2 linked regions of the Rhinolophus ferrumequinum genome follow. The protein of the gene in region 1 purifies or fractionates together with the protein of each later gene. This does not show direct contact. Links are inferred from orthologs where the notes say so. Each region holds a gene or a part of one and is shown in the gene's direction. Other genes may lie near its edges.

Region 1 (6,914 bases):
CTAGGTGTGAAATCTACCTGCTCAGTCTTTAGGCCAGTTCAAGATTTGGCACCTTAAAGGGCTGATTCATTCCAGAATTAGCATGTGTAACTATGGCAGGTACTATGCTGAACCAAACAAAAAAGGTCCGTGGCCTCCTGGAGTTTACAACCGTACTAGACAGGGAGAGAGAGAGGTTAAATAGAAAAACAAATAACTAGGTACATTTGTAAAAAGTGTAAGGAATAAAAAGTTCATCAATGAGAGTATTTCTTGGGAAAGTTAAGTTTCTCTGGGCCTCGGTGTTACCTGTCTGTAAGATGGGGCTAATTAAGATTTCTGTCACAAGGTTATGGTGGGGAATACATGAGCTAATATAAAGTGCTCAGTGCCCAGCTGCTGGTGTAGAGCTGGTCCTTTGTAAAGTATAATGCTATTCCTAGCTATAACCCAACTCTAGACGTGAGTCCTGAGTTAGAAGTGTTCATCCGCATTTTCTCTGGTCTCCATAACCATAGGTTCCCTGTGGCTTTCCTCAAAATGGAGAGGCGGCTCACCAATGCCTGTTTCAGAGAACCCCCGCAATCTCTTAGAGGGCTGAGGCCAATTGTATCCTAGGAAATACAAGAAACAGCTAAGGAAGGAAATATGGGAGCTCCTGGAGTACAGAAATATGGTAGCATAGTGGGAAGCAGAAAGAGACACTTGGGTTCAAATCAGGCTCCAGCACTAACCATCTAACCCTGACATTTGGCAAGTTCATTACCCTCTGCGAGCCCTAGTTTCATCATCTACAGAATGGGAATAGTAACACCTACCTCAGAGGAAGCAGTTGAGAGTGTTGGATAGTACAGGTGAAAGGCCAACTTGGTAAATATTTTGGTTACTTGAAACTATAATGAAAATTTATTGACAATATGGTCTGCAGTTCTCTTCACTGCTCAAACATCCTATTTCAAACACCTGGAGTCTTTGTGAGTTCTCATATTAATGGGAAAATCTCCACTGACTGCCAAAGAGGAGTTTAGGGGTATTTAGTCATTCTGCTCTCCTTCAGGAAAGGAAGCCAAGGGCAGGTTGGCTCTGCCATATGTCCATGTGCATCTAGATGGAGATTTCTGCTTAGAGTTGTAGAATGCTCTGATGTCCCCTATGTCTTTTGGCTTTTCAAAGTACTTTTCAAAATACCATGCTGGAGTTGCACATAAACAAGAAAAACTGGAAGAGGTTTGTGGGCAAAATAGCAAACAGTTTTCATTGTGGGACCTATGCTTTTAGACTAGAAATCACATTTCAGAAAGTGCTAGAAGGAACTTTTGAGATCTATTTTTAAAATGGAAATCAAGGCCCAGATAAGTTAAAATGACTAACTCACACAAATGGCAGAACCAGGAGCCCAGATCTTCTGCTTTGTGCAAGGAAGACTAATGACATATTCCAGTCAGCAAGCTCTGTACACTCACTGTCTGTGTAACAAACCACCCAATGTGTCTATTACCTCTTCTAAGAACTCACCCACCATTCAGGGATACCTTCCTCCTTTCTCTATGCTCCTCATGTGAACAGTGAGGGTCACCGAATAAGGTGGGTCTGCAGGATGGAGCTTCTTGCTGCCAGACAATTTGGTAATGTGAGGACTACCAGTTATTTTCACTGGAAAGGATCTCATATGCTTTCATTACCTACCTGATCACTGGCTTATCAGCAAGGGAAGCAATGATGCCGGTGACACTTTCCTTTCAAGCACTTTGTCCTCCTTCCCAATTCTGAGATAGTATCTTGAGTAGGATTCATTCCCAGTTACTGAGGTGCAGAGATGAAAAGTGAACTGCCAGCTTTCCAAAGAGGAGTATAAAAAAAAAAAAGTCAACAGTAGCATATTTTCCTCACTTGGAATTTTTTTCTTCAAGATATTTTGAGCATATTCTCCCTTATACTTTTTCCCCCTAAAGTCTTAAATGTTACCTCTTCAGAAAGGCCTTTCCTGCCGTCCAATGCTGAAGAGCTAACACTCACATTGCACTCACTCTGGACATGACATCGTTTTAACCCCTTTCCACATATTAAATTTATTAAACCTTAGTACAAGCCTATAAAGTATTACTCTGAACATCTCCGTATGGGGTAGGCACTTATTACTATCTCCATATTGTAGCTGAGAAAACTGGAGCACAGAAAAGATAAATAACTTTGCCAAAGTGATACAGTGAGTAATAGACTTGAACTCTGGTTCTAGAGTCTGCACACTTAACCTCCACTATCTTGACAATCTTAAAATAGGCCTCTCCTCCATTTTTTAACTCACAGTACCCCTTCTTTCCCTCTTTAACAGTAATCACACTTTGCATTTAATTACGTGCTCATTTATGTTTATTGTTTGTCTCCTGTATCATTCACATCATAGGTACTATGTAACTATTATTGAACAAATGAAGAAATGTATGTTTGTGAGCATCATTCATTGTGCAACCAATTTTAAAAAATTAATTTTACTAGAAATGATATTATACTTACAGAACAGTTACAAGAAATATATGAAGAACTCCACCCAGAGACTTGATTAAATTTTAGCCAAATGTCCCCCAACTACATTGTAGAACAAGAGGATCCAGTCCAGGGCCACTTGAGTAACAAATATAGATTGAGAACCTGCTACTATTGGATTATGTAACAGTCTCCTAACTCGTCTCTCAGCTGCAACCATTGCCTCCTAGTTTCATATTGCACCAGATCCTTCTAAAATGAGTTAGATGATGTTACTACTCCTCTGCTCAAAACCCTGCAGTAACTCCGTTACATTAAAAGTAAAAATCAGTAAAAACAAAACAAAACAAAAACAACAACATTCTTTTCTCACATCTCCTCTTCTCACTTTGCTCCAACCACACTAATTTTTTTTGCCATTTCCAAGGTTCTAGATATGCTTCCATCTTAAGGCCTTTGTGTTAGCTCTTTCTCATAACTCCCCTCTAGTATCTGCTGGCTAACTCCCCCACCTCTTTGTTGGTTCTTAAAAATGCATCATCTCACCTCCCTTATCATGCTGTGCTTCCCCCCTCCCAGCACTTGATTACTTTTAAATATACTATATATTTATGATATTTATTGCTTATGTTCTGTCTCCTCTACTACAAAGTAGCTATGGGTTGAGGATAGGGATCTTCGTCTATTTTGTTTGCTGAATATCCCAAGTGTCGACAGCTGTACCTGGCACATAGTTGGTGTTCAGTAAAAGCTGTTGAATGAACGAATATTGAAGGTACTTAGTGCCAGATCCTGTTCTTGGAACTGAGGGTACAACAAAAACTACGTGCTCGCATGGGATTCACACTGAAGTATATTTAAACCAGCTAGACCCGTGTTCCAATCCTGGCTCCCGCGCCTATTCCCTTTGAAACTTGGGAAAATTAACCTCTCTGAGCCTTGCTTTCCTATCAATCATTATGAGGAAAAACAGCATTTATATAGCATGTGGCATAAAAAACGCTTTAATATTTGTTTCGCTTCCTTCCAGGCTGGAAGATTCGTAGCCTGACATCTCTGCCACAGATTTAGGCAAGGTTTTCACAAGGCCTCGGAAAGGTGCAAACAGATTACTACGGCCAAGCTTACCTAATTTTTAATTGAAGATGTTCTCGTGACAGAATGCTTAAATGAGTCGTAGTGGGAAACCAGGGAATGACTAGAGTCACATACTTCGCCGTTTTGCATCGGAAAAGCCTCGTTGGGTCCCCAGACGTTAAAGTCTGGAGGAAGGGAAGAGGAGGAAAAGAGGCGTAGTTGGCCGCTACTGAAAACTACAAATCCCATCCCTCTCAGCGGCAGACAACTACGGGTCGCAGCCGGTTTCATTTTATGTAGCCAGGGAGCCCCTTAGGGCCCGCAGCCTGCGTTCAGCGGGAGAAGGATCGGGGCGTGCCGAAGCAGCGGGGAGAATCGGGTCAAGCTTTACGCCGCTGCGCAGATGCCTCTCACGGGCCGGACGTGACGTAGGAAGAGTTCCGGCTTCGGCCTTTGCCGCTGCCGCCGATACTCCAGCCGCCGCCGCCGCCGCCGCCGTCCGGGCTTGTTATTTCTAAAATGGCGCCCCTAGACTTGGACAAGTATGTGGAGATAGCGCGGCTGTGCAAGTACCTACCGGAGAACGACCTGAAGGTGAGCCCGGTCGGGGCGGGAGCGCTGCTGGCGGGCTCGCCCCTTCCGGCAGTGGGGCGCCCGCCGGCCCGCCCTTCTCTACCCCGGACCCCCGCCAGCATCCCGTCCCGTCACGATGGAGGGCCTGACGCAGTGCTGAGCGACCCGTTCCGACTTGCCTTCTTGCGGAGAGCGGAGGGAGCGGAGCCATAGTCCCCCGAATGCTGTCCCAGTTCCGTAGTGGGGATCCTGAGGGATGTCGCGGCCTCTGTCCCAGGGTTATCCCCCCTGGCTTTCGGGTGTCCCGGGGCACTGAGCCCTCACAGCTGTGCTTGGAACAGAAGTCTTCTCGCCCCTAACTCCATCTCCGGTCTTCCGGAGTCCGAACCGAGCCCCAGCAGGCAGTGCCCTCGGAATGGGTCATCCCCCCAAATATGACAGGAGGTCTGGGTGGCTGGCGAATGACAGGAGATGCCGCCGGCCTCCGGAACGCGTCCTCAGTCAGCGTGTTTGGGTTCCTGAGGACTGGAAGACGGTGGGCGGGAGCGGTTTGGTGGTGATGCGGGAAAACGTCAAGTCGTCCCTCTTTTCCTACCACTCCTCCCAGCTGCTTTTCAGGAGTGTTGGTTTTCTTCTGCCAGCTCAGATATGAATTCCATTTGCAAGTATGTTGTTGAGCTAATTTAAGTGGGTAAAACTAATATAAGTGGGTAATTTAGTAGGCCCTCAATAAATACAAATACTTTTCTGTCCTTTAAGGTGTTTCTCCATAATCCTTTCTTAACCCAATATTTCATTTTTTTGGTTTACTAAAGGAGGCGAGTTTTTTGTTACTGCCAAGTCCAAGTAACAGTAAAGTATGTGTGGGTAAAGGAATAAACGTCAGTCTTTGACAAGTGTTTCTATTTCTGTGCGTTTGTTAAAACCGGTGTTTAGGTGTCAGCAGCATATAGCGGTTAGTAGGGCTACTGTCTTTTATTTTTTTCAGTTAACTTTGGTTTGTATGTGGTAAGTGGGTAAACTGTGTAGTTATGAATTTTTTTTTATACTTTTAAGCTGTGGGTTTAAAGCAATTCATCTTTGTCCGTGAATTTTTTTCTTTTAAGGAAGATGTTACTGGTTTTTTTGTTTTGCCCTTTTGATGCAGGAAGTTGATGTTTAATGTCAGTCAAAAAGTATGCAAAATCTTGAAGGCCAAAGGACCTTAATGTAACTTATTGTACTTATAGGTAAATATATGCTATATGATAGGGGAGTCATTCTTGTGCATGTCCCCCTTTTTAATAGGATAATTTAGTGCTCGCTTCGGCAGCACATATACGAATAGGATAATTTAATTAAAAGGAGGACAAAGCCAGTATTAGTAGAAATGCAGCTTTCATGTTCATCTGAGTCCTTTGTGGCTTCTTTCTGCTATATGCTTTTTAAGGAAACAAGGATACAACCAACACTGGTATCCAGTTCATGGAAATCTAACCAGACATCTTTTGGTAACATTGTTAATCCCATGGGTGAAGTTATTGTTTTTTTGTCAGTGAATTGATGTGAAATTTTCTATTCTTTAGCATCTGTAAAGCAGTTTTAAGCTTTGTGTTTATAATTAGTAAAATGTTGCTTATTATGAAAATGTGTCTTGATATTAACTTGAAATTGATATTGAAATTATTTGGATGATACATCAGTTGGATTTTCTTTAGACCTCTTAGTTTGATAAACGTTAGAGTTCCTTCCAACCTTAAGGAAAAATAGTTCTTAAACCATTTCATTTCCCTTTGCAACACAATTGGCGTATACTTAGCATGTATCTAGTTATTAATAAATTTAAAAAAATCTACTGAGGGAAAAATTCTGAATTTTTTTTTAAATAAGGGGAGGCTTTTCTTCTTTGTCTTGGAAATATTTTTATCAGATTAATTTGCTTGTGATGTATGCTCATCTCTGGTGTATTTAAAGAAATTTAATTTTGTTTCTTCTTGGCATGAAGTGCAAACTAAAATTAGGCAGTCCAAGAAAGTATTCCAGGAGTACCTTTTCTAAGGCTTTAAAGCCAAAATAAAAGATTCTGTAAGAGGAAGAAAAGAAATCACTGGGATCACGTAATGATCATTATGGAAAAGATTTGTTCTGGTAGAAAAGGCAGAAATTCAGTGTGTTTTAAATTGACTTTAAGTTGGAGGTACTAAGTAAAATACTAAATGTATAAGATGCTCTAGATCTAATCATGATTTCTCTACACCTAAATTGTAAGTGGTCATGTCACTAGTACACAATCGAATCTTCGTAACTGTTTCGCAGGAATAAGAATGAACTATAAAAGTGAGTGGACCAAAGCATACCCTTTCTTTAAAAAGAGCTCATGTGATTCTCATCCATAAGGATTCAGAGCTGATCATAGAAGACATAGGTAGACTGATCTGATCAAGTGGAAGAATGAATGATAAAAGACTGTTTCACTGAATACTTCAACTTAAATACTTTGGCAGGGGATGGGTTTTATAAGTTGGAGATTGTCTGATCTCTTGGATAGTTCTTAAAGGTGACATGTAAGCAAAGAAATTGCACACTGAGTTGGTGTACAGTTTTTTTTCACTGAGGAACCAAAGAGAGTTACCATGGTAGGGGTTGGAGAATACTAGTGTCTGTCTCAGAGATGCAACACAAGGAATTGTGTGATTCCATAGTAACCACTTTTATGGATTAATTGTTAATGTAATTTTTTTTGGAACTCACTTTTATGTTTAGTCTGAGCCATCTCCTAAGTTTTTCATATAAGGCTACCTGCTCTGCACAGTTGTACCTCT
Region 2 (7,338 bases), on another chromosome or scaffold:
TGCCTGGCAAGGAGCAGGTCCTCAGTACATGGGTGCTGGGAACTGTTAAACTCAGAGCTGACGCACTTGCCCCAGGTCATACCACAAAGGACCGGCAGAGCTAGATGGTGCACCCAGACTCCCAGCCCAAGGTGGGGTCCCCTGCCCCACAGAGCTGCCTGCAGTGGGCGGGGGGCGGGGGGGCTTCTAAGCACTCAGGATTCCTGTTCTTCCAGGTTGGGCCCCACGCCCTGAGGTGCTAATTTAAAGTACCAGTCTTGGCCTGGGCAGCCACGCGGGGAGCAGAGGGCACCTTTGCTGACTCAGAAGCAGTGGCTGCATTGGGGGGTTCCCCTAGGAGACCTCCGTCCACTCTCTTGCCCTTCAATCGTGCATCGGGGGTCCCCAGGAGCACCTCTGCTCCATTCTCCCACCCAGCCAGCCATCCAGTCCTCTAGGGCCTGCCAGGGATCAGACCAGGGGTGGGGAAGAAATGACCTGGGCTGTGACCCCCGTGGCCTGCGTGGGCTGGGGACGATTGAGTTACCTCTGCAGCCCTCCCGCTCTCCCCCCCAGCACCCTGGAGTGTCCCCTGATAGATCCATTGCATGGCTATGGGTGCCATCTGGTGGCCAGAGACCACTCTGCTGGACGCTTTCCTGCCTTGCAATCAGCTAGGGGGAATGGGCCAAACTGCTGGCCTCCTACTATGTGCCAAATAAATCTGTCAGCCTTCAGTAAGCACCCACTACCTGCAGAGCCCTTGCTGGGGGGCCCAGAGATTAGTCAGATGTCCTCCCTTGAAGGTACTCCAAATCCATCATGGAGAGTTTTCCAAAGTCTTGGCTGGGGGAAAGCAGTGTTGAGATATCTGGGGCCCAGAAAGGGTATCACACTCAGATGGGAAGGCTTCCTGGAGGAGGTGACGTCTAAGCAGTCTTAACTGAGGGGGTGAAGTTAACTTAGCTTGTTTCATTTAAATTTCACAACACCCCAGCGAGGTATCTTCGATTTGTAGTTGAGGAAACCAAGGCTCAGGGAAAAAAAAAGAAAAGCCACAATTTTTTTCATTCATTTGTTCAATCACTCCTTTATCCGATAAACATTACTAACTGGTTACTGGGTGTTACTCAACGTGGCCAAAAGGGCTTCCACCTTCCCTCCAAACCCTCTCACTTCTGCGGTGACACGCATGACCTCTGAGTCTCTGTCAGCCCTCACTGAGCCCTGCAGGGTGTCCCTCGGGGAACGACAGGGCCTCCCTGACCATATCAGAGGAGCCATTTGCTCAGCTCAGGCCTCATCCAGGCTGGCCGCAGGATGCGTGTGGGAGCTCCGCCCTGCCTGGGCCCGGCAGCCCTCTTGGGTCCATAGCTGCCCCGGGCAGCCGAACAAAATCCACGTGGCCAGATTTTAGGCATGTCCAGTGCCAGGCAGGACAATGGGGAACTGGGATGTGGGTGAAGTGGAGAAACCTGGGTGGTGGGAAGTGGGGTGGGGCTAGGATCCCACTTGGCCCCTGCAGGGTACCTTCTTGAGAGCCTCTCAGATGGCTCTTCCCAGCACTGAGACCCGCTTGTTGGACCGTACCCTCAGGTCACCAGGCTGGGGTCCCGCCAAGGAACCCCCTTGCTGGCTCCTCCCTCAAGGTCCTCATCCAGATCCCCATGTGTCTACCTCTCTCTCTCTGCACCCAAATGCCCTCCTGTTCTTTCCCCGTAAGCTAGCGGCCCTAATTGGTAGCAACCTACTGGTTCCCCTTTCTACCAACACTTGGGCTACCAACAGTCCTCTAGCAGGAAGGGAAATACCTTCTCCCCAACCCAGATTGAATCTTAATGCAGGGAAGAAAAGGAAAAGAAACAGAAAAGTTAACGTTTCCGTGTTAAAATCGGTCGACCCTTCACATCCCACTAGAGCTGCATATCTGGCCCCTTATCTCCAACCTCAACCGACCTTGACCTGACCCAGAACCAGCCCGGGCCCCTCTGGAGCATGGCTGTCCTCAGCATGGCCCCCCTCTAGCTCTCAGATCAGGACTGAGCCCTGGTGATGTAACAAAAGGAAAGCCAATAGGATGTCTTTGTCCCCAAGCTGAGCTTATTCAATTTAAAGCCTTTTTGTTTATCCTGAGCTAGTCTTTCCTACCTAAGTGTATGTATGTTCAAATGTCTTTCCTTGTATGAAAGGACGGCAATAATAAATGGTATTTTTAAAAACCATTACTTGATAGAATTAGTAATGACACAGTTCTGTGGCTGTTCCCAAAGTTTAGGAGTACTAGCTGGGTGACAGGCACATGGGCGTTCATAATGTTTCTCTCTACTGTTGAGTGTGTGAGAAATGATTCGTATAAATTTTTTAAAAGTCTAGATGGGTTGCAAATTTAAACATTAAAAATTAAATCACCAAAGGATTAAGGAGAAAAAGGGGGAGAGTGGTGCTCTGTGAAATCTAGAAACTCGACAACAGTGAGGCCGATGCAAAGCTTCAAAAGTCCCTCTCCTCTGTAAAGCCTGTCAGTGGTTCCCTACTGCCCTCAGGTGACGGGCAGGGCTCAGATGCCTCCCCCTTCAGGAAGTTCTCCTGGCTTCAACCCTTCAGATTAGGTTAGGAGCTCATCTAACTGGAGACTTTCGGGGCCCACTTATATTGGGTGAGGTACTGCATTATTTCATTTAATTATAGTGCACATGGCCCTAGGACCCACTTCAGAGTCTGGGATGGAGGAGCCAGAAGCAGGTACTGGCAAGTCCTTTGAAGATGAACCAGTAAAGAGATCAGTGGGTGGCTGGGCCCTCCCTAGGTGCCCCCGAGGGCAGGTCCCAGCCCTAGTTGTCCCCTCCTATCCACGCCCAGCCTCCCTCTCAGGCACCAACTCCTATGCCAGTGTTCCCTGCAGCCTCTCCCTGACTCCTAGGTCCAGCCCCTGGGGCCTGCCGCCCCCGCCCTCTGCCTCCTGTAGCATTGCCTTGCTGCTCTTGCTCAGAACAGTCCTTTCTAAATAAAGTTAGGCCAGCCATGAACACGCCTTTCGCTACCCAGAAGCGCTTCCTGGACCTCAATCTCTGAGCATAAACCCCAAGTTCCTTCACTTGTCCTCAAGGCCCGGCCACCACCCAGTCACCTCTGCCACCTCCTCTCCCTGCCATGCGCATGCCCTCTCCCACCACAACGCAGCTACACCTGCCTCCCTGGCGCTCCACAGCCCCACCTGGGGGCTTCAGGCCTCTTTCCCCGCCATCTGGACGCAAGAGCCTGCAGCTCTGTCCTCCCTGTCCCTGTGTTGAAATGACACCTGCTCAGGAAGGGCCCGCACCACTCGGCGGCCTGTTTTACTTACCACTACCTGGTGCTACCCAGGTGGTGTCTGACGAACCCCCACAGGCTGTGCACACACCAGGCGCTCACTAAAGGGCTGCCCACGAATGCAGAGCACCCCGCTTCCGCAGCCTGCAGCCCAAGCTTCCCCTGCGCTGCGCGCACACTCGTGGGTGCGTAATTTTGCGTTCGCTGAATTCCGGCTGGGTTTCACCGGACGCTTACTTGCCCCCAGCTTTTAGCCCTGTCGCCAATTGTCGCCCTCTAGCATTTCGGAAGAAACTCGTGTGTAAATCCTTCCGTAAGGCAAAACATTTCTTCTCTCCCGGTACCGTAGGGGTAGGGGCTGGGGGAACCTGGTCTGACCTCTCTACCGTGAACGTGACCCCTAACTCCTGCGACAGCCACCTTTTCCTCGTAAGGTGACCGAGGACGTGCAGGTCTCCCTTTATAAAATTCAGCCGTGGAGAATGCGGGCATCGATCCCGCTACCTCTCACATGCTAAGCGAGCGCTCTACCATTTGAGCTAATTCCCCAGGTCCAGAAAACTTCCGCCGCGGACACATATTGTGACTCACGTCATCACCGGTTTCCTGCAGGCTCTCCAACCCGCCCACGGGTCTCGCTACCCCATTGGTTCCCTTGCAGCTTCCAGCTTCACGGCCATGATTGGTTTGGCTCAGTTTAGTTTTAAAAAGCATTTGCTATCGGATTGGTGGTCCGAAGCGTCCGTCAAACAGGGGCCCTGCTGTTGCTACGGCGTAGGGGGACCCAGCCAGGTTTCTCCTGGTTTCTGATTTGTTTTTCCAGACTCCGGGGTCCTAGAGGTTCCGGATCCGTCAAGTCCATGGGAAAAGAATGCGCCCCTTGCCCTTGACTGACGGGGCCTGCGAGCCAATAAGAGTGGGTGCAACGGGGCCGCGGGGCGCCCCAATAGGCTGCAGGGGACGGGAGAGGGAAGCCAATGACCGTGGAGCCGGGGGCGGGGGCAGGGCCGCAATTGGTTGCGAGGAGGCCAGAGGGAGGGCGGGGAGAACTCAAGGCCTGCTTGATACGTCCGCCATTTTGGGCGCTTCGCTGATGGTGTCGGTGAGCGCGTTTCCCGCCTGAGCGCAACTAGCGGCGGGTCGCGGGCACCTCCAGGTAATGAAGGGGGAGGGGGGCGGCGGAGCGGGTAGCGGCGCGGGGTGCGCGGCGCGCGGTCGGCGGCGAGGCTCTTCCTCCTGGCCTCGGCGGCGCGGGGAGGGAGCGTCCCGGCCCCCTCCCCTCCCCCCCGGAATTCGCCGCTCGGCGGCCCGAGAGGCGCGGCGTCCAGGCTCTCCCGGCCGTCCCGGTCCGCGCCTGTCAGCCTCCTGCTCGCCCGCCACGGGCCGCGGGGGCCCCGCCGTGCGGGGCGCTGGGGTGGGACGCGGGCCCGACGGCGAACTTTGCGCCCGCGATGAGGTCCGCGGCCCTGCGCGGCAGTGGTGGCGGGCGGGGCGCGCCCCTAACCTGGCCTGGCTCGGTTCCGCTCCCGCTTGCCCGCCCCGGGCGCCGCCCCGCGCGCGGGCCCCGGAGAACTCTCCGCGCGAGCCCCGGAAGCATGTCAAGTTGAGGGGCAGCTCGCTGTAGACGGGCGAAGGCCATTGTTGGACTCGTTCTCCGGGAAACAAGTTCTGTGGGTTTCTATTCATTCGCTGCAGACTCGCTGGAAAACGCAAAAAGCAGCTCGGAGTATTTAAATAGCCTTCTGAGCGATTTTTTAACTCCAGTGTTGTGACTCGAATGTAGACCTGGTCACGAAAGCCTCCCTGGCGAATATGAGCGAGGGGGGTGGTCCTTCTGCGGCTGGAAGTACCTCCCTCTTAAAGAAGCCTGTTCGCTCCTAGCTTGGAGGGGTTTCTTCCCACATCCCGCCTGCTCTGATCACAACTTGGACTTTTGGCTGTAAGGTGCACGGAACGAGCCCTTGGATGTATCTCTGTCCTGACGCGTCAGAGCTTCGTGTAATTTTTCCGGTATTTCACATTTTCTCTGTGGGTCCCGTGGAGCGTTGTTTATGTTTTGCTTTTATGGGAGGGGCGCTTACTTGGTAGTTTCCTTTCATCCTCACGGCACTTGATAACGTGGATATTGCCCCACTTTGATGTGAATTTTACTTCGATTCAGTCCTCAAGGTCATGTTGCAGGTAGGCAGCAAGTGGGAAAGGGACTCCAGATTTCCAGCCAGTGGGACGTCTGCTAGGTGGTGGTGGTGTTTGAGCGATCTTCGCTCTGGAGTCAGACTGCCTGGATTGAAATCTTGGTTTCACCACTTTCTAGCTTTGTGACCTTGGGCAAGTTACTCAGTCTCTTTGCTTCCTGTGTAATATGGGAATAATAAGTGTCTACCTTAAAAGTTTGTTGGGAGTAAATGAGTTAATACATGTAAAGCAGTTAGAAAAGGTGCCTAGCACGCAGAATCAGCTTAGTAATTAGTGGCAATTATTATTAATTTAAATTTGATTTTTAAATGTTTAGGTATTATTAGAAAGTCAGATGAGTGTTTAAGCGCTGGCTCTTGGTGAATGTCTTTGGAAAACTTTGTGTATTTAAGAATCAGCTGGAGTGAGAAAATGAAGTGGAAATGTTTTCCATTTTTTTTAGGAGAGGGGTGGTTGAAGATTCACTGAATTACAAACGTATCCTGGAGTAATTTTTAGCGGTGGTGCCTCAGAATGTTTGGTTTAGGAGATGTAAATAAAGAAAAGCCCATCAGGAGCTCGAGTCAGATTCTTTTCCTCTTGTGGGTGTTACATCCTTAGTATGATTGCCCCCCAAATCAGTAACTCCAGGATTTCTTTGTGTACTCTTGGGTGGTTATTTAGGTTTGAAAGGTTATTGTGTATTGACATTTATTTCAGTAAAGATGGTTTGGGGAATAAGCTGTTTTGCGTTTCAGTGTGTCTGATCAGGGAATCTAGAATATTTAACAAAATGCCATCCAGTCAGTCACACATATACCACAGTCTTTTAACTACTGCCCTGTGTGCGTCTCCCTGGTACTCGAAACCGTGCTCCCCTTTTCCTTGGCATTACTAGCTTGGGACCTGTCTTGCACTGGGAAAGTGTTGCTTGGATAGACTCAGTCTTAAGTAGAGCTGAGCATCTTGCTGCTGTAACTTAACTCAGGAACAGGAAGAAGGTCAGTTTGGATCAGAAAATTATAATAGCTTTTGTGTAAATTATAGCAAAACAAAACAAAAACTTGCTAGTTTCAATTAGTTACTTGAGAAGTTGAGAGTGAGAACATAGCTGGACATAAAGTGAATAGTAGTAAAATTGAGACTCGACAGGGTGAGGTTTGCTCGGTTTGTTTAATTTTTGGTATCTATTTGGTACAAAGATAATATGCTTATTACAGGTAAAACATGTCTTCCTTAGAACAGTAGTTGTCAGGCTCAATATTGACTTTGTTTCTATGATACACTTGTATGTTGCAGTTTTATATTTTGGATATTTGAGATGCAACCTGAGTGGATATTGGTCTAAAATTTTACAATGTTTTTGTTACCCTTAAGGAGAGTAAATGATAGTGACTGAAGCTCTTCTAACCATCTGCTCAGCTAAAACTCAGCATTGAGTTTATTTCATGAAAAGCCCAAGAAGCTGTGGTTTGTTCCTCCTTATAAGTCAGAATCTGAGCCCCAGTGGGCTGAGTAGTGTTAGCTACTTTTCTCAGGTGCGAGGAACTGAAAACATAGACCTAGCCTCTTGGCTTTAAGTAGCTTTCTTGTTTTGTTTTTTCTTTCTTTCCGAAGAAAACCTCAAATGATTGGTTTTTATTTACTCCAGATCGGTGGTTCTCAACTGGGGGATGATTTTGCCTCTAGAGAAACATTTGGCAATGTCTGGAGATACTTTAACTTGTCACCCCAGTGGGAGTGAGCAGCTAAAGGGTAGAGACCAGGGAAGCTGCTCAACATCCTGTAAGGCACAGGACAGCATTCCCTCCTCCCGACTCCCCCTCCCGCTCCAAATAACAATAATGCCAAGGTTGAGCAAGACAGATGCTAGAC

What was found. Proteins that work in one complex are often made in the same cells at the same time.
Region 2: the proteins of PPP6C (region 1) and PPP6R3 purify together in Homo sapiens (affinity purification with mass spectrometry; 10 studies listed by BioGRID and IntAct, with this or other methods). This does not show direct contact. The link is inferred for Rhinolophus ferrumequinum from reciprocal best matches to the Homo sapiens genes PPP6C and PPP6R3.

The regions. Positions count from the first base shown.
Region 1 is NC_046295.1:74,838,635-74,845,548, reverse strand, and holds the start of PPP6C (serine/threonine-protein phosphatase 6 catalytic subunit), read left to right. Parts: upstream 1-3,897; 5' UTR 3,898-4,059; coding exon 4,060-4,134; intron 4,135-6,914.
Region 2 is NC_046294.1:4,279,832-4,287,169, reverse strand, and holds the start of PPP6R3 (serine/threonine-protein phosphatase 6 regulatory subunit 3), read left to right. Parts: upstream 1-4,310; 5' UTR 4,311-4,444; intron 4,445-5,182; exon of another isoform or gene 5,183-5,298; intron 5,299-7,338.